Coturnix japonica: one gene and its partners. The protein of the gene in region 2 interacts with the protein of the main gene of each other region in a pairwise test. Links are inferred from orthologs where the notes say so. Each region holds a gene or a part of one and is shown on either strand. Other genes may lie near its edges. The genes, in order: HOMER3, USP2, NDEL1, LHX4 and KIFC3.

The links.
Region 1: the proteins of USP2 (region 2) and HOMER3 interact in binary tests that used the Homo sapiens proteins (3 or more experiments, as listed by UniProt). The two-hybrid records come from large-scale screens. The link is inferred for Coturnix japonica from reciprocal best matches to the Homo sapiens genes USP2 and HOMER3.
Region 3: the proteins of USP2 (region 2) and NDEL1 interact in binary tests that used the Homo sapiens proteins (3 or more experiments, as listed by UniProt). The two-hybrid records come from large-scale screens. The link is inferred for Coturnix japonica from reciprocal best matches to the Homo sapiens genes USP2 and NDEL1.
Region 4: the proteins of USP2 (region 2) and LHX4 interact in binary tests that used the Homo sapiens proteins (3 or more experiments, as listed by UniProt). The two-hybrid records come from large-scale screens. The link is inferred for Coturnix japonica from reciprocal best matches to the Homo sapiens genes USP2 and LHX4.
Region 5: the proteins of USP2 (region 2) and KIFC3 interact in binary tests that used the Homo sapiens proteins (3 or more experiments, as listed by UniProt). The two-hybrid records come from large-scale screens. The link is inferred for Coturnix japonica from reciprocal best matches to the Homo sapiens genes USP2 and KIFC3.

Annotation. Positions count from the first base shown.
Region 1 is NC_029543.1:2,751,238-2,754,747, reverse strand, and holds part of HOMER3 (homer protein homolog 3), read right to left. Parts: intron 2,398-3,510; coding exon 2,241-2,397; intron 1,341-2,240; coding exon 1,209-1,340; intron 789-1,208; coding exon 681-788; intron 1-680. UniProt on the Homo sapiens protein: Postsynaptic density scaffolding protein. Binds and cross-links cytoplasmic regions of GRM1, GRM5, ITPR1, DNM3, RYR1, RYR2, SHANK1 and SHANK3.
Region 2 is NC_029539.1:3,556,360-3,560,309, forward strand, and holds the start of USP2 (ubiquitin carboxyl-terminal hydrolase 2), read left to right. Parts: upstream 1-1,141; 5' UTR 1,142-1,355; intron 1,356-2,399; 5' UTR 2,400-2,474; intron 2,475-3,774; 5' UTR 3,775-3,815; coding exon 3,816-3,950. UniProt on the Homo sapiens protein: Hydrolase that deubiquitinates polyubiquitinated target proteins such as MDM2, MDM4 and CCND1. Isoform 1 and isoform 4 possess both ubiquitin-specific peptidase and isopeptidase activities.
Region 3 is NC_029533.1:1,496,339-1,500,539, forward strand, and holds the start of NDEL1 (nuclear distribution protein nudE-like 1), read left to right. Parts: upstream 1-1,393; 5' UTR 1,394-1,421; coding exon 1,422-1,472; intron 1,473-2,779; coding exon 2,780-2,877; intron 2,878-4,201. UniProt on the Homo sapiens protein: Required for organization of the cellular microtubule array and microtubule anchoring at the centrosome. May regulate microtubule organization at least in part by targeting the microtubule severing protein KATNA1 to the centrosome.
Region 4 is NC_029523.1:5,732,728-5,737,030, reverse strand, and holds the start of LHX4 (LIM/homeobox protein Lhx4), read right to left. Parts: upstream 2,803-4,303; 5' UTR 2,643-2,802; coding exon 2,567-2,642; intron 1-2,566. UniProt on the Homo sapiens protein: May play a critical role in the development of respiratory control mechanisms and in the normal growth and maturation of the lung. Binds preferentially to methylated DNA.
Region 5 is NC_029526.1:1,981,523-1,985,719, reverse strand, and holds the start of KIFC3 (kinesin-like protein KIFC3), read left to right. Parts: upstream 1-1,395; 5' UTR 1,396-1,410; coding exon 1,411-1,545; intron 1,546-2,851; exon of another isoform or gene 2,852-2,932; intron 2,933-3,749; exon of another isoform or gene 3,750-3,814; intron 3,815-3,857; exon of another isoform or gene 3,858-4,051; intron 4,052-4,197. UniProt on the Homo sapiens protein: Minus-end microtubule-dependent motor protein. Involved in apically targeted transport. Required for zonula adherens maintenance.

The DNA of each region.
Region 1 (3,510 bases), on a different chromosome or scaffold from region 2:
GGGGAGAAACTAAATTGAATGACTGGTTGTCATGCCTGCATCTCGACCTCAGTGAAGATTTCTCCAAGGTGGAACACAGTGCACGGATAGCACAGCTCCTTCTACAGTGGAAAGAAGACAGAAATGGAAGAAGTCTAGCAGGGACTCCCCAGACACCAATGATAAGAAATCACTTTGTCTTTCTGAGACTGGCACCCAGAGACACTTGGGAGAGGAACTCCCCTGCAGCCCCAGCAAGGGAACAAAAATAGCTCGAAATGCCACGTATCTTTCCTCCTAACTTCTTCAGCCAGGCTATGTGCATTCCTGCATGTTCCTTGCCTATTACTGCCAATAACTCTAAAGAAAATAAAGCCAAAACCCACCACCACCACCACCACTAACAGAAAACCTAAGACCTCTTCCAGCATGATTTTCTCAAGACAAATGTTTAACTGACAAAGAGGGAGGAGAGTAAACCTTCCTAAGAGCTCCACTTAAGCAGTAATTATTTTATCCACTTCATGTGCTTCAGTAGAGTGACTACAGGGCCACAGATGTCATCAGAAAGAACCCCCAACCCCAGTGTCTGTCAAAAAAGCATTTGGGCCAAAAAGACAGAAGCAAAAGTTGCTAGAGGAGATCAGCACAGTGACCATTTCCCCTAGCAACCACTGCTCATGCCCGTTCCCAAGCATTACCTGGTGAGATGTGATATTCAGGGCAGGATTGGTCAGCTCTGTTTTATCCTGGGATTTCTCCCTTGCCAAACGTGCTGCCTCTTTCACTTCCTGGAACTTCTCTGCAAACTATAAGGGAGCAGAAAAGTCACTGTACTGCTAAATCAAAACGTAGAACAAATTAGAATTAATGTCTGGGTTACTCCTCCCCTCTGTTATTTCATTTTATGTGGTTTCTGTTTCATCTTCAATTAATATTTGGATTGAGGGAATAACCCCTACCTGCCCATGATTCCAGCACTCAGAAGTGTGAGAGTAGCTAGAAATAATCAGGGAGCCCTAAATCCAAATTCATTTTGTAACATTCAAATACTCTATAAAGATTACTTTCAACCTCTTCCTTGTACCTTTGTATCCTGAATCAGGTTCCAGCAGGACCCTAATGTTTTTGTTTTTATTTTTTTCCACCTGAAGCTGAACTCTCCCTTTTGGGTTTCAAGGATATTTGTCTTACAGGGATCAGGTCTCTACCAGCATCTGCCATATTACCTGGGAGAGGTGTTGCTCTGAAGCAAAGCCCAATCCATATACTGTGTTAGCTCGGCTATCCGCCCACTGTCCGAATTTCTGGGATGTCTTTGTGAAGGTCATGTTGGGAGTGATAGTGCTGTTGATGATTGCCTGTGGAGAGAGGCAAGAATGAATTAGAGAAAACTCCATTCTGCTGCCCAAGGGCGTTGTGTGGGATCACCCCAATTAGTAGGTTATCAATTCTACTAGGGTAGAAGCTCTGCTTTTAATGTATAAAACAGCTATTTGGGGTTCTGGTGATCAAAAGTCTTTCTAGTCTAGCTAAGAAATACACACAAGTGTGAATCTTCTTGTCTACTGTAGGAAAAAATAAATAAATAAGAAAGCCTGAACATTACAAGCTTCATTGGGCCTCCATTGCTGGAAGAAAAGAGAAGATGCGGAAAGTCTTTGGGGACTGAACAACTTTCTGATGTTCTCCACTTTCATGGCAAGCAGGAATTAAAAAAACATTAAGTAAAAGGCTTAAACTGCACTTAGCACAAGCTATTACAAAACACTGTTGGTTGGGGCAGTAGCACAATAAACCGCTTGAGAAGACTGTGGAATCTTTGCTGCTGGAGGTCTTGAGAAACAAGTCAGAAAAATATCAAGAACAGCTGAGGGAGAATCAGCCTTGTCTTGGGGTTAGTGGCTGAACAGACTGCCTCACCTCTGTTTGTTCATTCTGTCTACATGGGTCAGTTTTAGCACAGGATCAGGGCTCTTAGAAAGATCTCTTTTGCATGCTCAAAGAGGAAAGAGTCAAGGAGAGAGAGAAAAGAAAGCACACTAAGCACATTTCTCATTAGCAGAGGGTCTAGTGTCCAATACTGATCACATTCAAGTGTGGAGGCAGTGTTTTATCTTCCATTCCTTGCAGTAAAGACGACAGAGTGCCCCATGCTGCAAACTAATCAGTGTGACAGAGAAAGCATCAATTGCAGAACAGACACTGGTTGGAGACAAACTTGCTTTCAAACTGTGATGCTGTCAGCAAATGCTCCCTACCTTGGTGCCTCCCACACTGATGATCCGGTACACATTGCGTGTGGCATCGTAAAAATAAGAGACAGTCAAAGCATGTTTGCTGGCAGGGATCCAGTTTCTTTTGGTAGCAGGGTCTATTTGGAAAACATGGGCTCTGGTGCTGAAGATTGGCTGCTCCCTGCAACAGAGATGAACAGAGCTGTAAGAGCAGAGGGGAAGCTGAGCAATGGGGGAAGTGGACTGACGTTCTGGTACTTGCATTGCATAATGCATCACCAGTGGCACTTCTGCTATTTGCCTCCAATCTAGAGATATGTGACAGTAGGAGCTAAGCACAGCAGCTCATACAGACACAGTAACAAAGCCACCAAGGGTGTTTAACTATAGGCAGTGGTTTTTACCTTCCTCTGGATCTTCCCTTGTCCTCCTCAGTTGTCTTCACACATTCCCAAAGACCACAGTCACACCAGCAACAGTACCCCGAGATTAGCAAGCCTTACATGCACATTCACCCAGGGATCAGCATTCAACTTGCGGGTAGAAACACAAACAGGACATCGCAATCTTGTGTTCTGCTTACCAGATGGTCCTACACAACACAGCTGGTGTGGCAAAATTAAGCTAATAATTAGTGTTTACATTATGTTTAGCCTGCTTTGAAGTTTTCCTTCACTATCCCTTAGCACATAAGCATACAGTTCATGGTGACTTCACCAGCTCTGTGATTCTCTGGCTGCTATGCTGCTTGCACTACACAAGATATCTCCGAGCTGGAGCTCTGGGAAGACAGATGGATGAATAGACGGAGGATGGGTTTGGGCTGTGAACACAAGAAGTGCCTTCCCCTCAGCACAGCTCTTCCTCCCTTGACTCACGCTTGGGAAGCACATCCTGCAGTGAGAGGTCACGCTGCAGGATTAAAAGCAAGTCACTTAAGAATGAATTAAAGGAAGCACTTCACCACACAATGCGCAGCTGCTGCATGAAAGCAAGTACTGCCTGGATTTTGTAACCAGTAATATCTGAGCTGAACTAAGGAACTGAATCTCAGGCATCAGGATGTAATCTGAGCATTTCAAGAGGCAGGAAGAAATGTTTCCATGACATAACAGACCAGGTGCATCAGGGCTTGCATTTGACTCTGTCTCCATTTTATTTTGTTTTAAACCCAAGGCACTGGCCATTTCCACACTTAAATTCAGTGAAGCCTGGGGTGCTTGGATATATCCCATAACTTCTTGGCTGGGTAGAACAGCTGCAAACAAAGCATAGTCACAATCCCGTGACATGC
Region 2 (3,950 bases):
CGTCTCCCAAGTCTCATTCTTTTTGTGAACATTTGTAGTTGTTTCCACAGCTTGTCGTCAAGGAGAGAAAAAAAAAAGAAAAAAAAAGGAGAAAAAAAAGGTAAAAAAAAAGAAAAAAAGAAAAAAAAATAAAAGAAAAAGAAAGAAAAGCCAACCTTACGAAAAGCAACAATAACGATAACAACAATACACCTGTCCTCCGGGAGTTTTCCTCTGTCTGCACAATAAAACCTTAGGTTGTGTGTTGGAGATGTGTGTGCAGTGAGGGGCTATAGGGGGGGAGGGCACGGTTTGCCCTGCTGGGGGGTGACCCCCTTCTGCACCCATCTACGCTTCCATTCTATACCAGAGAACCCTTCTCGGCTCATTGTGAGCTCAGGGTTGGGGCCACCTGCGCTATGGGGAGAGGGGCAGTGCAGGGTAGGTACCACCAGGTATCCGTGGGCATATGGGCACAGGCTCCCTTGGCACCCCATCTCCATCCTGCCCTGCCTGCAGCGTGGAGGCAGCCCAGTGGGCAGGGAGTGAGTGGGAGTGGGGTTGGACACAGGGCATATCCCCCTATGGGTGACCCCATAGAAGCCTCTGGGAGTCACACCCAAGCACAGACGTATCGGCCCTCCCTGTTTTGGGGCTGGAGCTGGGCAGCGGGGATGAAGATGCCACCATAATTGCATCCCGCACCTAATTATCGTCAGCAGGTGCTGGCTGAGTCACAGGCACCGCGGTGCCGGCTCACGGGGTGGGTCAGGCGTCAGGGAGAGGCACCCAGGATTGTGCCCTGATGTCCCCCTGTGTCACCATGGGGTTACAGGGGTGGGTGCTCCTGGCCCCCTCCCACAGGGCTCTTCTCCATGTAACAAAACCCAAAGCAGCTCCCCGTTCCCCTCTTACTCTTTATCAATCCATTCCCTCCTGGACCCCCATCTCCTTCCCTCTCCCCTCACTCACCCCCACAACCCCCCTTCCCCTCCCCATCCTTCCCATCTTACCGTGGGCCTTACCTTGGGCTCACGTCCCCTTTAAGCCTCCCTGAAGCTGGAATGCGAGAGGAGCATTTCGGCGCCCCGCGAGGTCAGATAAAGACTCTATATTTATCTAGCTGGTAACCTGAGCCCTGAATTTCTGCTGTGTGTTTTTTACGCTGCCCCACAACCCTCCGGCACGGCCCCTCCGGACCATTCCCAACTGAACCTCGGGGTGATCAGACCCTGCCACAACTCCCCCAACACCCCCCTGTTCTCCTCCAGCCCCTGGAAGAACCCCGAGGAGGGAGGACTGAAACAAGGCAGCCTCATGAGTCTCCATTCACCCCACACCGTGCCAACCTCGCACCCCTGAGCGCGCAGCCACTGGTGAGTGCAGGGAGCACAGGGGGATAGCAGCAATGGGGAGGGGGCTGCGGGATGTCAGTGGGACCCTTAACTCTGCCCTCTTTTCCCTTTGTTTGGGGTGAAGCCATGGGAAAGATGTTTTTCTATCTCCATAGAGGGTGGGACCATGCCTGGCACTTGGCCCCTGGGTGAGCACAGCCATGTCCCATCCACTTCCCCCCCCAGGCTCCCTATTCTTTATCCACCTGCAGACCTCAAAGCAGTCACCTTGGGCCCTCCATCAGGGTTCCACTGTGGGTTTGGGATTTTGCTGCCTTGGGGTGGCCCTGGAGCACTGAGCAGCCAGGTGGGGATGTGTCAGCGCAGTGACGCCAGGCCTGCAACACACATGTGCTGAGCTGGGTGCATTCTCAACCTGTGACTGCATGGGGAAAGCTCCCCCACCTTGCTTCCCTCCCAGCACCCTCAGCCCTAAAGCAGCCTGGAATGGGCAGGGTGTTCCACATGGGATCCCCCCCATTGCCTCCCCTATGGCATCATGCTGGGAGCTCTGCATTAACCTCCAGGCTGGGACATTGTGTCTCAGGGCACAGGGACAGGGCTCACAGCCTGCGTAAGTGAGAAGCAGCTGAGCCGTAACACCTCGGTTGGAGCCAGGGCTGTGTAAGCTGAGCTCACCCTGGGGCTCTGCAGCCACCAAGGGGGAAAGCTGCCACCGGGGCCACCAGTGTGAATGTCAGCTCACTCAATGCCTAGGAGACCAATGGGGATTCTATTGGGAATGCTGGGAATGAGCTCCCCAACATGAGCATCCCTGCAGTGCTCATGGCCACATGGCCACAGACCGGACATTCCCGTGCCTCAGTTTCCCCAGGGAGGATGATGAGGTTGCAGGAGTCCTGACTCAGCCATGCCAGCCTCAGGGTTTTGCTTTGCATCAGAAAGGCTCAGCATTATTATTGGGCAGGGAGGGGCCAGGCAGGTCAGGAAGCGATGGGAGGAACCGGGGTTTTTCTCACACCCCCTCAGCTCCTCGGGCTCATGGCACACTCCGCTCTCCCACAGCCCTGGGGTCCACAGCGATATGACATGGGGACAGCACGGTGCAGATCATCCTAGCAGACACAGCAGCCCTACATGGTAAGACCTCTCCTCCCATGATACCAGTGGGTTCACCGCTATGTCCAGGGCAAGATCCCCCTCCTGAGCCCCATATCCCTGCACATCAGCTCTCCACACCCCCAGGGCAGGCAGTATCCTCTAGGGATTAATCCCATGGACTGAAAGCCCCCGTTGGAGCCACAGGGCTCCAGCACCCTCATCCCAATGTCCATGGGAATGCTGGTCCTTGGCTGGGTCCCACATCCCCCAGCAAAACCCTACAGTATGCACTGGATCCTGGCTGGTAGAGCAGCTCCAGGGCCCTCCCAGTGCTGGCACGGATGGGCCAGGGAGAGCCGGGTGTTGGTGGCTTGTTTGCCTGCAAGGGGATTATTCACCCCTCGGCCTCAGTTCCCAAACAGGTCTGTGCGCTCTGGCTTGCTCTCGCTTGTAAATAGTTTCCTCTTGCTGCTCCCTCAGCAATAGCAGCCAGGACACAGCCCAGGGCCGAGGAGGGAGGATCCCATGGTGCTTGCACTCGGTGACCATCCCCATGCCCAGCTGTGCCCTGCATGGAAGGGATAAAGCCAGGCTCCATCCCATCACCTCCACGCTGCCTTGGAGTGAGGCCAGTGCCCGCCCCAGCAGGGCTGGGAAAAACCTCTGAGCTGGGTCATCTCCTGGGTGACAGGGGACTCTTAGAGTCACACGAACCACTGTCCGGCCAGGGAAGGGATGTGAGGCAGCACAGCCCTGGGACAGGTAGGAGACCTGCATCAGCACAGGAGAGAGCTGTCCTCCCTGTTTGTGGGAGGTTTCTTGCTGCCCTGTCTTTGACTCTGTGCTGGTTCCTTCTTTGCTCCGGGTGCCTCCTTCCCCCTCCTGTCCTGTGCATGGGTCACTGTGTGGGAGAAGCCACCACCCCCCATAGGACCCAGTGCTTGGCTGTCACACTGCCCTGCAGGCTGGCTGTGCCTGGTGACGGGGACACAGCGGTCACCTGCACTGCTGAATTATTGATGGCAGGCAGGCAGGGCACTGGCATGGCAGGCAGACAGGCTGTATGCTGCAATACGGTGTCCCTTGTTTGTCCCCACTGTCCCCAATGCCCCCTGGTGGGTGGTGGCTGCAGCTTGGCCCCAGGCACCGTGCAGGGAGCAGGGATGGATGATGATGCAGAGGCATCGGCTGACCATGAGTGCCCATTGCCATGCCCAGTGAAGCCCTAATTCAGTGGTATCAGGTCCCTGCACAGGGTCTCCAGGTGGGGGTCCTGGGGTGGGCACTGTCTGGTGTCAGTCATAGCCCATGCAGCTGAGCCCAGGCCCTTCTCTTGCAGCCCATGCCTCCTTCCAAGACCTCTGAGCCCCAGCCTCCAGCATGTCCCAGCTCTCCTCCACACTGAAACGGTACGTTGACTCGTCCCGCTATGCTGAGAACACCTACAGCAAGATGCCCAGTGGCTACAGCTCCTACACCTCCTACGGCTCCACTTATGCCTATGCAGACAGAGAC
Region 3 (4,201 bases), on a different chromosome or scaffold from region 2:
TAGTGAAGTTTGTAACCTACAAGCTCCAGTTTTTAGGAGCAATCATAGTGTGGAAATACTGTTCCAATTTAGGTGCAGAGTCGCTCTGTCCCACTGACTGTGTAATGGGCGCCTGAAAGGAGCCATCGCATTTTGAACATAGCTCTTGTTGTAGAGCTGCTCGGATCTGGAGTTCTGCCCGTGTAACTGAGTTTTCCCAGGGTGCTGAGTGAATGCTAAGCTGTGTTGTAATGAATTCTGAGTGGGCATCCACATGAGCCTGCTCTCATTTTCCCTGGAAGACGCTGCTGCATTGTCTTGTCTGCTCCTGAAAGCCCCAGTGTTGTTTGTCAAAGGCCCGATTCTGCAAATGCCACGTATACAGAGGAGCTTCTGAATGGGAAGGGCTTGTGCTGGGCTCAGCTCTGCACAATGCCTGCAGCCAATGCAGCCAACAGTGCGCTCAGCACGGCGCTTTGTATCCAGCTCTTGGCATGCCGTGGGCATCCACTGTCCCACGCATGGTCAGGGTTGTGTTAGATTCTCTTAGTGCTGTGGAGCTGCTTTTTGCCCCACTATGGGCAACGGATGGCAGAAGGGAAAGGTGCAGGTTGGGAGCTGTCTGTGTCTCCTAACCCTCAAAGCAGTATTTATGGTTCTGACCAGCTGTGGATGATGTGAGCCTGCTCTCATCTTTCTCTTGTCCCCCAGGCATGGGAGAGAAGACAGACAGTAAAAGCTTGTCTGCAGGAGTGCTTAGCTGGCATGTTGGCATGAGCATCGGATGGAGGTGTTTCTGTAGTGAGGTTGGTGGATCAAAACTCAGTGGTGGCAGCATTAGGTGTGATGGAAAACACGGAGCGTGGGGAGCTGTGAGCTGTTGCTGTATGATGAGATGGACAAGGCTGGGGCACTGCCTATGGCAGGTCTGCTCTGTCCCTCTGGGAGGTGGCTTTGGAGGAAGAGTGGGGCTCTGATGAACATGGGGGTCCCAGCACTGCTGGCTGCTGGCTGCTGCTTGCAGGGTGTTGGTTCCAAGGGTGTGTCTTGTGCAAGCAGACAGGAAGGAGTCTTGGACCCAGACACACGTTATCGTGGCTGCTTCTAGGAAATGATGTAAGGCACTTCCTCGTACTGACTTTTCTCTGAATTCAGCTTGATGGGTGGTTCCTTGGTTGTTTACCTTTAGACACAGCTGTGGGGCTGACCCTGTTCAATGCGGTGCTTCATTTAATGAGGTGAAAAAGTGATTCTGGCTGACTTGAGAGTGCCAGCTGAGAGCCAAGAGCCTTGTGACTTCTGCTGAGGTGGTTTCAATGTGATTGGTGTGGGACTGATGTTATGGACAGCACGCAGCAGTAATCAACTGCTCACCTCTTCCTCAACCCACAGATCTGCATAGCAGTTCAGGAGCTGCTTGACGTGTGCCTGAGCCACAGCAGATGTCTGCCTGCCTTAATGCATCAGCCTGTGAGACACTGGCAGCTCAGGAGGTGATTCATGGGCTCTGCATCCACTGTAAACACAGCTGATTTGTTCCTGTTGTCATTAAACTGCCTTGGTAACAGGTGCAATAACTGAAGCACATACACCCCAAGAGATTTTCATCTGAAGAGATACAGCAGGACTGTGGTGCTGGGGGGAATGGTGGTGCCTCCTATTGTTTTATTCTCAGCTCAGGGCCGTGTAGAAAAGGAGGCATGGTCAGTTGGCTCAGGCAGCATGAAGGCCTGGTTCGTCACAGAGTGCTACTGCAGCACAGCTGTAAGTTAAGTAAAGACAGAGAGAGAGCTGAGGGTTTTTGGATGTACTGAGCACCCTGCAGGTAAGGTTGGTTTCATGCCCTGGGTTGTAGCAGCTGCAGAGCAGTGTGCCAGTTTGGCTGTGCTTTAGGTGTGAGCCAGAATGGATGGGCTGCTGTGCCCTCTGATGGGAGTGCTGTCATCATATTGTCCCACTTCTGGGTGTCTCAAATGTGGGTCACTGAGATGCAGAGCATGACAGTGTGACACTTTCAGGCCTGGAGGGACAGCATTGGCTATTGATGACTGTCAGTATGTGAAAGTCAAGGCTTCTAGGTCATCTGCAGTGATTAATCTGCTGTGACGAGCTTGGTACAAACATTGTTTAAAGCCTCTGCAACAGAAGTGAGTTTCAGCTTATTCTTTTCTGGAGATTTATGATCTATTTTAAATGGTGTTTTCTGGAGAGGAAGAAAAAAAATGGCTACCTGTGAGTAAGAGGGAGCTTGGAAATGGAATGGAGCTGCCTGGGGCTGGGAGCTGGGCCTGGCTGAGTGTATCCCTGGGTGCTGCAGTGAGTGCAGGTCCACCACCAGCACTGCTTCATCCTCATCGTCATCTTCAGTAACATCTGAGGTCTGGTGTGTGGGGTGCTCTCGTGTGCAGTCATAGTGAACAGTGTTTGTACTATGCACTGTAGGAAAAACCTTTTACAAATCCAAGTGGAAACTGTGATAGCTGTAAATCATTACCCCTGGTGGTCCTAAATGAGCCAGTGGCTTTAACTGCTGTTTCCATGGTCGGTGAATGATACAGCCCAATTTTGTGGTCTCTTTTTCAGGCTGCTGCATGAGCGTTTCCAGAGGTTGGAGACCATGATGTTACTTGTTGCAGCTGGTCTTTGCTCAGAGGTGGCTGTTAGGAATCATTAACATTCTGCAGGCCAGTCTCAAGTCTGTTTGCTCCTGACAGGCCACAGCTTTGAAGTACAGCAGCAGTGGGGGGTTACTCTGCCTGCCTCATCATACTAAGCGTTTTCTTATGTCTGCATCCTACAGGTCATATTGAACATGGACAGTGAGGAAATTCCAACCTTCTCAAGTCCAAAAGAGGAAACTGCCTATTGGAAAGAGCTTTCCTTGAAGTACAAACAAAGGTACTGTTGGATATTTTCAGAGTGGATTTGGTTCTAGATGACTGAGAATGTAGCTTAATCTATTTCTCTGCTAGACTTTAATCAAAATGAGCATTAGATGTATTAAAATGAATCTCACCATTTCCAGCTTTAGGTGCAGCTTTTAGATCCAGCCTTGTGCAGGCTGAGTATTTCATTCTCAGTGTTACTATGCCATGAACTCAAGACTGAGCACGTTAGAGCAGGAGAAGAGCTCTTCTATGATCATGTGTATGTTTGTATAATTAAAATGCTGTCTTAAGTACTAGCTTGATGTTTTGCAGTAGGAAGACTGCCTGTGGGTTTGCCTGGTATCATTACTGTTCCCTCAGGCTTCTTGCACTTGGTCTGAGAAGTTTCTTATTTGGTAGCTGGCTGCAATATGTTGAAGCACATTCATTATAGCTCATAGTTCTGCCTGTGTTTGCCTCTGCCATCTTTTAAGGGGAGCAGAAGGCTTTTTGGTTACAAAAAGTGGCAAGAGAACTTGTTGTCTTGTGTGCTGCTTGTGGTTTGTTGTGGGGAGGGGAGTCAGTAGTGGTGGTTTCCTGCTCATTGCCTTTGGAGAGCTTTACTTGCACTCTATGTTAGTGTGCAATAGAAGCAAAGCCAGCTAAACCTCTCTCAAGTCCAAGGAGCCCAGTGTGCAAGCTGTTGTTTTGTTTGGGTCTGTTTTCTGGGTGTAGGGAACAGAGGGTGGGCATTTGAGATCCCTGAGCTGTATGAGAAAAGTCTGTCAGGTCTCTCTGAGGCCAATGAATATGTAGCTTCCTAAATATCATCAGTTTTCTCTGCTGGTTGCAAAGAGTTGAGCTATTACGTATGGTAAAGATGAGAGTGTAATTAGTGAAATATGTGGAGTTGCTGCTTCTAGTAATTTAATACCTTGCAGTGGCATAAGGTGGGTAAATGCTGGCTTCCTACCAAAGCACTTAGTAACCCTGAGATCCAAACCTTAATGCTTTCCAGCAAACTTATATTTCCAGGTAGTGCTGAGATGCAGTGACTATTGTTCTGTGCTGGTTTTTGCCTAAAGCAGGTTAAAAGCTTTACTTAGTGACTCTCTCAAGGCTGCTAGAGTGAAGGCTAGTGGGGTACCAAGTGTCAGACTTGCAGGAATCCTGGAAATAGCCTTGATATAGGTTGTATTTGCATGTGTATTGAATAGAGTTATTTGATATAAAGGGCTGAATTTCCATTTGTAGGTAAACAATGCAGTTTCTCTGTTTCCCCCAGTTTTTACTTTCCCTGTAGAGGTCCCTGGTTAAGTACTTTAAAACTCTTGGTGCTTTTTCACCTAATTATT
Region 4 (4,303 bases), on a different chromosome or scaffold from region 2:
ATAAGAGAAAAGAAAAGAAGGAAAAAGGCAGAAAGGAAAATAAAAAGGGAAAGGGAAGAAGGGAGGAAAAGGAAATAAACGAAATAAAGGGAAGGAAATAAGAAACGGGGGAAGGAAAGGGAAGCAGAGAGAAGGGGGAAATAAAAGGGTAAAGAAAGAAAAGAAATGTAAAAAAATTAAAGGGGAAAAGGCAAAAAAAATGAAAGAAGGAAAAGAAAAACGGAAAAGGAAAAGGGAAATGAATGGACGGAGAGGAAGAAACTAAAGGGAAGGGAGGAAATTAACATGGGAGAAGAAGGGGAAAGGAAAGAGAAATAAAAGGGGGAAAGAAAGCAAAAGAGAACGAAAAAAGGAAATGAAAAGAAGGGATGGGAGGAAAAGTGGGGGGAAAAAAAAAAAAGGACGGGGGGAGGGGGGGGAGGAGGAAAAAGGCAAAAGAAACGCAACGATAAGGGAAAAAAGATCGATAATGGCAGGAGAGAGGAAAGGAAAAAGGGGAAAGAAAAAGGGGTGAAGGCAAAGGGCGCAGCAGCCGATCGCAGCGGGGCGGTGCAGGCGGCGGGGCCCGGCGGTGGGGCAGCGGGGTGACCCCCAGCCCCGGGGGGGGCATCAACAAACGGCACCGAACGGAGACGCCGCCGATCCCACGGGACCCCCCCACGGCAACGAGGGGAGACAGAACCCCCTGCGTTATCCCCACGGACGGATGAAAGAGAGGGGGGGGGAACGGAGCGCGTCCGGCGCAGCCATGCGGGGACGCGCAGCGCTGGAGGCAGCGGCACCTCCGAGCGTCGGGAACGGAACCAGCCGCGGTGTGTATCGCCATATCTGCCCCAAACAGCTCCGGAAAGAGATCGGAACGTGGACAAACAGCTATTGAAATAAAGGCGTGTTTAGGTTTGTTTTCCAGTAGTTCGGATCATTTCATTTGATCTGATAAATATACACACGCATCTGTGTGTACACAGATCAACACACGTACAGATGCACATGTATATACACATGTGTGTATGCATGTGGATATATGCATGCATACACACACATATATACACACACATATATATTCACACACATATACATATAAATACATACATATATATAAACACACAGGGGCCAATCCGGCCCCACTCCCCCCCACTGCACTGCGAGTTGGCAGCACAGCCCGTTGGTTTTATTCCATCTACAGAGATCGATTTCTCTCTTATTTCTTCTTCTTATTATTATTTCTCATGATCGCCCTATCGATGCATTCGTTTATTATTGTTATTATTATTAATTATTATTTCGGGAAGGTGCTTTAGGCATTACTTTGGGTACGGCAAAAGCTTTGCCGCACGTTTGCCCACCTGCCCCTAAAGAAATAGCGCTGTTAATGAGGGTGTCAATTAGCGCTGGCCGTGGGGGGGTTTATAGGCCCACCCCGCAGCTCTCGGCTCCCCAACGCTGAGCTGAAGTCGATGCAGAATGTCGGGGTTAAGGCAGAAAGGAGCTGTGCGGGTGCGGGGGCCGAGAAATGCGATCTCACAGCGATGGGAAACGAGAACGGCAAAGGGAGCTCATCGCTGTGAGCCGTGATGGGGATGGGGATGGGGGGGGGGGGGGTAAAATAAAACCAAATAAAAAGAATAAAATATTATTATAATGATAGAGCAGACCTGGGGGGAGGTGGGGGGGAGGAGGGGATAGCAGCCCCTCTCCCTGTCTCCGGATCCCGGCCAGAGGCCCCGCACTGATGCCCCTATTTCTCACCTCACGGTTTCCCTATAGCATGGGGGGGTTCCGACACGGTGCCTCCGCTGACCCCCCCAGTCCCCACGGAGCCCCGCAGCCCGCACTGAGAGGCGGCCCCATGCAGCCCCTCCACCCCCCCATCCAGCAGCACCACGGGAACTTCGGCAGCACAAACACCGCTATTTCACCACCGATTTGTTGCGCTGAAATACACGAGAAGAACATCTCGTTCGCTGCTCCCTGCTGCGGGCAGAAGCAGAGAGACAGCCCCACATCGGGCTGGGGGTGCGGATGGGGCACTGCCCCCTCCCAGTACCGGACCCCCCCGATACAGCGGGACGCTCCGCTTCTCCGGAACCGTTTACGAACGGGGTGTGGGGGGAGGGGGAACCGTGAAAGCAATAATCGATGATAACGGCGATAATAAACACGAATGCGAATCATAAACGCTAACAACGATAACAAATAGAACCGAACCGAGACCGGCACTGCTCGCACCCTCCCCCCCTCCCATTACACCCGCACGGTGTCCCCGCATACAGCCGGACGCTCACGGCCCTCCCGGGGGGGGCACCCGGCTCCTCGCCACCTGTAGCTCTGCAGCACGTACCGATGGATGTTCGCACCGACAGACCGGAGGAGGCTCGGGGCCTCGTGTCGCGACATACAGCGACAGCGGGGGCACCGCTGCAGCCCCGTGCACACGCACAGCCGCCCCGACCGCCCCGACGGGCCCCCCCGGCTTCACCGAGCAGAACACGGGGGGAAACGAAAGGGTGGGAAACGCGACCGGGGGACAACGGGGAGGGAACGGGGAAGAGAAACGCGTCCTTACGTTGTACCGGCACCCCGAGGATCTCCGGCAGCCCCTTGACAGCCCCTTCGGCAGCGAGCGCTGAGCTTTGCATCATTTTATTGGCCCGGGGGCGACGGAGGGGAGAGAAGAGGGGAGAGAAGAGGGCAGGGAGAGGGCAGCGGGCCGGGCCCCGGACACGAGCAGCACCAGTTGGAGCCGAGCCGTCCCGGTGCCGGTGCCGGTGTCGGTGTCGGTGTCGGTGTCGGTGCCGGTTGCGGCCCGTTGCGGTGCCGCAGCTGTGCCGGCAGCTCCGCCCGCCTCCCATTCATTGCCCTGCGGGGAGCGCGCCTGACGTCACCGCCCGCAGGGGGCCGGGGGCGGGGCCTGCCGCTCTCCGCCAATCACCGCACGCCGCACGCCTTAGGGGGCGGGGCCTGAGGGCAGAAAGGGGCGGGGCGTAGTGGTTGTGGGCGTGGCTTGAATGAAAGGGGCGGGGCCTGAGCGCGCCACGCCCCGGGAGTCCGGAACCTGCGGAGCGTGGACGGAGATATCGCGACATGGGGCTGTCGGGACATGGCGCCGGGCAGCCGGGCCGTGAGCGGCCGAGAGCAGAGGGGCAACGCAGAGCGGGGCGATGCCGAAGGGCTGGGGCCGGTCGGTGCCGGTGAGCGGGGCGCGGGAACGACGAAACCCCCCAGATCTCCCGCGGGGAGCGGGGCCGGGCACTGACACAGCCCGGCAGCGGATCTGCCCGGCCAGGGGCTGCTCTGCGGGGCGGGAGGAGCCGCACGGAGCAATGGGACCTGCGGGCAGGAGGGCATCCCTGTACCCATCCCTGTACCCATCCCTGTACCCATCCCTGTATTCATCCCTGTATTCATCCCTGTACCCATCCCTGTACCCATCCCTGTACCCATCCCTGTATTCATCCCTGTACCCATCCCTGTACCCATCCCTTACCACATCCCTTACCCCCATCCCTTACCCCCATCCCTTACCCCATCCCTTACCCCATCCCTTAGCCCCATCCCTTACCCCCATCCCTTAGTTCCATCCCTTACCCCATCCCTGTCCCCCATCCCTTTCCCAGGCCGTTCTCCAAACGCCGCTGCCGGAGTCACGGCGCTCTGCCCCCCCCGCTCCGGAGGGCTCCGATGGATCCTTCTGCCCCAACGCGTCCCCTTCTCCCGAGGGGGTTCCGTTCTCATTCCGCATATCGGTACGGACCCCCTCCCTGCCGCCATCTGCATCACCCATCCCCGCATCGCACTGGTGCCCCATGACCCCCGCAGCACCTTCCACGCATCACCTCTATCCTCGCCCCGCTCCGTTCCCTCACGCACCTCCCTCCCCTCGCCCATCTATTCCCCTTCGAATCGCTTTGGGGCTCATTCCCCCCGGTGCCCTGAGAAGGCGTCAAGGTTGGATAATCCCATCCCTTTCACCCCCCCCCCCAAGTGGGAAGGAGGTATCCGGACCCCCCGCATCCCACCCCCATTGCATGGAGAAATCACAGAGCGGACACTTACCGGCGGCTGGAGAACGCGGGTTGTGCCGAGCAGGGCGCTGTTAATTTTAATAGGGGTTTAGCAGACATGAAGGGTGTCCCCCCCACCACAATCCCCAGCCCCGCTATTTTATGGCCGGAGAGGCTCCTGCCTGCATCGAGGTGGGAAAGGAAAGAGGGGAGAAAGGAAGCGGCGGGCGGCAGCGAGCCGGGGGGGCGGCTGGCCCAGGAAAATTAAATTGCACTTGAGGGCAAATTCTATTAGGGAA
Region 5 (4,197 bases), on a different chromosome or scaffold from region 2:
AACAGGGCAAAAACAACCAGAAAAGTGATAGATGAAGTAGAGGGGCTGTTGTATAGGGACACATTGCCAGCCCCGGGCTGGGACCCACTAGAACCACATGGCACAGCACAACAGGGCATGACATGGCACAGGATGGCATAGGATGGTTTGGCATAGCATGGGATGGGGTGGCATGGCATTACATATGATGGCATGGCATGAAATGGAGTGATATAGGATGGCATAAGATGGCATGGAATAGAAGAGCATGACATAGGATGGCATAGCATGGGATGGAATAGCATAGGACAGAATGGCATGGAATGGCATAAGATGGTATGGCATAGGATGGGGTGATATGGCATGGTGTGGAATGGCATAGCATAAAATGGTATGGTATGGGATGACAAGATGGCATGGCATGGAGTGACATGACCTGGGGTGGAATAAGGTGGTATGGCATAGTGTGGCATGGGATAGCATGCTGTGGAATGGCATAGGGTGGCATAGCATAAGATGGCATGGCATGGAATGATATATGATGGCATGGCATAGGATGGCATGACATGGGATCGCACAGGATGGCGAGGCACAGCATGGCAGAATATAGCGTAGCATGGCATGGCACAACATGGGATGGCATAGGATGGCATGACATGGCACGGCTCTGTCCTAGCACAAGGTGGAAGAATGAGCAGCAGCCTGGCGATTGGCTCAGCCCAGATAAGAGGCTCCTTTGTACTGCAGAAATGCTGCTATCACGTGCAGATCTCTCTGCTGCCATGGTTACTGCCTGCTGCAGTGCATGCAGCACAGCGGTGTGACCATGTTGAGCTGGGACATGCAGCATTAGCATGGCTCTGGGTCCTGCTGCAGCACTGGGCAGTGTCCCATCGCTTTTTACACGAAGGCTCTTTTCATTAAAGTGTTTTCCTGTGCGCTAATTACGTTGGTTTTCCTTCTGTAAATGAGCCCGATATGATCTGTGTGTCTTGGCAAACAGCCTCGAGAACAGTAACCAAAGCCTTTTTGTTTGATCGCTGTTTGCTTTGCAAATCTCCCTGCTCTCACCGTTCCTGGCTGCCTTCAGACAGCCTGCACGTGCGGGTTGATGGGAGGGAAATGGGGCTCTGTGTCATTCCTGCTGCAGGAACAGGAAAGGTTTGGGTGTTCCTGAGACCCTGGGGTGGATGGCTGCACTCAGGGAGCAAACGTGCTGCCATCTGAGCACTGTTATCTGCAGAGGGAGAAAAGTCCACCTGTCCACCCATCTAAGAAATAGGTTGTGTCAGCAATTTGCAGGGCTGGGTTTTAATCTGCTCTTAAGGCACCGGCAGACAGGAGCAGAGGAGACGTCGCTTTCTCCTCCACTGCAGACAGAGTTGCTCTGCAGCAGCCGCCCTGGGGGCCCTTTGGGGAGCAGGCAGTGCCATGCATGCGCTGGGTGCTCTGGCTGCACTCTCAGTGCTGGGCTGGACTAAGGACAGCAAATGGAGGAGCGTGGCTCTGCAGAGCACCAGGGGACTGCCAGGAGCGAGGCGGTGGGCAGCAGGGCCCGGCCCCCAGGTGAGAGACATGGGGTGGGAGCGATGGCAGTGAGCTGCAGTGTCCATCCATCGCCATGCAGCTCCAGGTGCGGGTGTAGGGCTGTGCATTATAGATGAGAGCTGTGAATAATGCATGGCAGGGTAAGTTTGCAGGCCGAGCAGTTGGGAGGCGACAGAGCTGTGCCATTGCTCTCCCCTTCCAGAAGGGCACAGCAGCACTGCTCTTCCCACAGAGGCTCCTATGGCTGCGTGTCCCTGTGGGATTCAGCTCTGAGCAGCCAAAGCCACGCACTCAGTGTCCCTTAGTGGCACGGCTGCTGACATCAGCCTCCAAACTCAGTTCCCTAAATTATTCACAATTACTGCTTGAGCGTCTCCTCCAAAACCAAACGTGCTTCCGAGGGCACTAAAAATAGACAGCTTCGCCGAGGACGGGATGCCTTTTTTAAAGGAGACCGCTGCCATCCTTTCTGCCTGTATTTGCACCTCCTGGCTCAGCTCCTGGGGAGAAGGGCAGGGATGGGGCCAGGCCCTGCAGGGACCCTCCAGCTGCACAGCAGGAGAAAAAGACAGGGCTGCTGATGTTGGGTGGGTGAGTGGGGGCAGCTCCGGGTCACCTGAGTGCTGCCCTATCTCAGCATCGCTGCCTGCGGGTTGGGTTAATTCCCACTGTGAACTTGGAAACGAGTACAAATTTCTCAGGAGCACACTAAGACTTAATTAAAACTCGTTAAAGAGCTCAGATGGCAACGAGGGACTGTGGGGTTTCGTTAGCTGCTCCTGTGGGCTCAGCACGGGGATCCCCTCACTGGGGCTCTCAGGGAGGAGTGGAGTTACAGCACTGAGCTGCGTTATCATTAATTGCTCTGTGGGGATGATTCTCGCTCCATCTGATGATCCTCCCGGTGGGAATTTCCTACAGAGAGCACCCAGGTGTGCCCACGCCTGCATTCCTGCCATCAGTTTGCTGGAAGGGAATGGAGGGGGAGGTTAAACTTTGGCCAGGATATCGTATTTTCCCCCCATCTCCCCCGAGGTGTTACAGATGTAGGTTAAATATTTGCTCGGGGCAGAGCAGACTGCAAATGCAAAGGGCCCCCATCGGCACAATCAATGGGGCTTCCCTCCATCCACACTCGTGGGCAAATAGGGGGGAAATGGGAATGAAGCCGCCTGGCTGAGCCGATCCCTCATTGCATACACACGCACAGGAGGTGGCAGCGGGGCTGGCCGCCCTCCTGCTGCTCTCCCAGCGCTCATTGATCCCGGGCCGGCACTCGGATGTCTGCTCCCAGGCTGGCAGCGAGGAGGGATGCTTTGCAGACGGGGAAAGAGCTGCTCTAAAAGGAAGGGCAGAGCCCGCGGCGCCGCGTTGGAACGTGGAGAGAAAGCAAAGGCAGCACGCAGTGAGCTGGGGCTGGAGAGAGGGGGGTGGGGGGGCAGCCCTATTGCTCGCGCAATATGAGGGTGATAGAGGGGCTGCTTCCAATGCGAAAGAGCCCTGAGGGTCGGGATTTCCATGCTCAGCCCCGAGTACCATCCTTAGGATAAACCCCACCGGCCCGGTGGGCACCCAGATCTCCTGGTGCATTGGGGTCCTGCTCTGGGAGCCGTCCATCTCCCCTCACCCATTTAGTCTCTTCTCGATGCAATTGACGCAACGTACGCCCGCTGCATAATTGCAATGCCATCAAAAAACCTGAAGCATTCAAAGGACAGGAAATGACTTAACGCCCAGAGCTATTTGCATAAACATTATTTTGCCCTCACAGCTCGTAAATTAAGGCAGTGACAATACGACATTTAGAGTCGCTGCTGGAATGCTTACAGTCACCTCGTGTCCGCCCGTGTCATCGCTGAACCAGCGGCAGCCGCTGCACGGACACGGGGAGCCCTGCGTGAACACCTACAGCACCCACAGTGGGGCTGAGAGAGACTATATGGGGCTGAGAGGGGCTGTGGGGGCTGGATAAGGCTATGAGGGGCTTTAAGGGGCTGAGAGGGGCAGGTCGGGGCTGTGTGAGGCTATGTACAGCTGAGAGGGGCTATATGGGGCTCTGTAGGACTGAGAGAGGCTGTGTGGGACTACGAGCAGCTGTAAGGGGCTGAGTGGCAGAGTTGGGCTACGTGGGGCTGAGAGTGGCATTGCGGGGCCGTGCATCCCCCAGGCACCGCCGCCCGTCGGGGGTCCCGGGCGTTACCAGGGCAACGAACCGGGGCGGAGCAGCCGGTGCCGACGCCCGGGTGGGCGGGACCGGGGCGGGGAGCGGAGCCGCAGCGGGCGGCCGGTGAGCGGCACCGGGAGGGAACCGGGAGCGGGCGGTACCGGGAGCGGGCGGGGCCGGGCCGGGCCGGGCTTCCCTTTGTGTGCGGGACGGCGGTGGGAGGGACCGGGGTGCGGAGCGGGACCGGCGGACTTTGCGAGGTGCCGAGTCGCTCTCCCTGCGGCAGCCGAGGGGTCGCGGAGCCGGGGACCCCCCGTGCCATGCCGGCAGCCCGCCCGGGCCGGGAGCTGCCCCTGCAGCGTGAGTAGCGCCCAGCTCCGCGGAGGGGCGGGGGGAGGAACCGGCAAGCCCGCATTCTTCGCATTGCTGCGCGGCCGGGGAGCGGGAGCGAGCTGCAGAGCTGCAGGGGCGTGGGGTGCCCTGCGGGTTGCGCGTCCTGCTGCTCG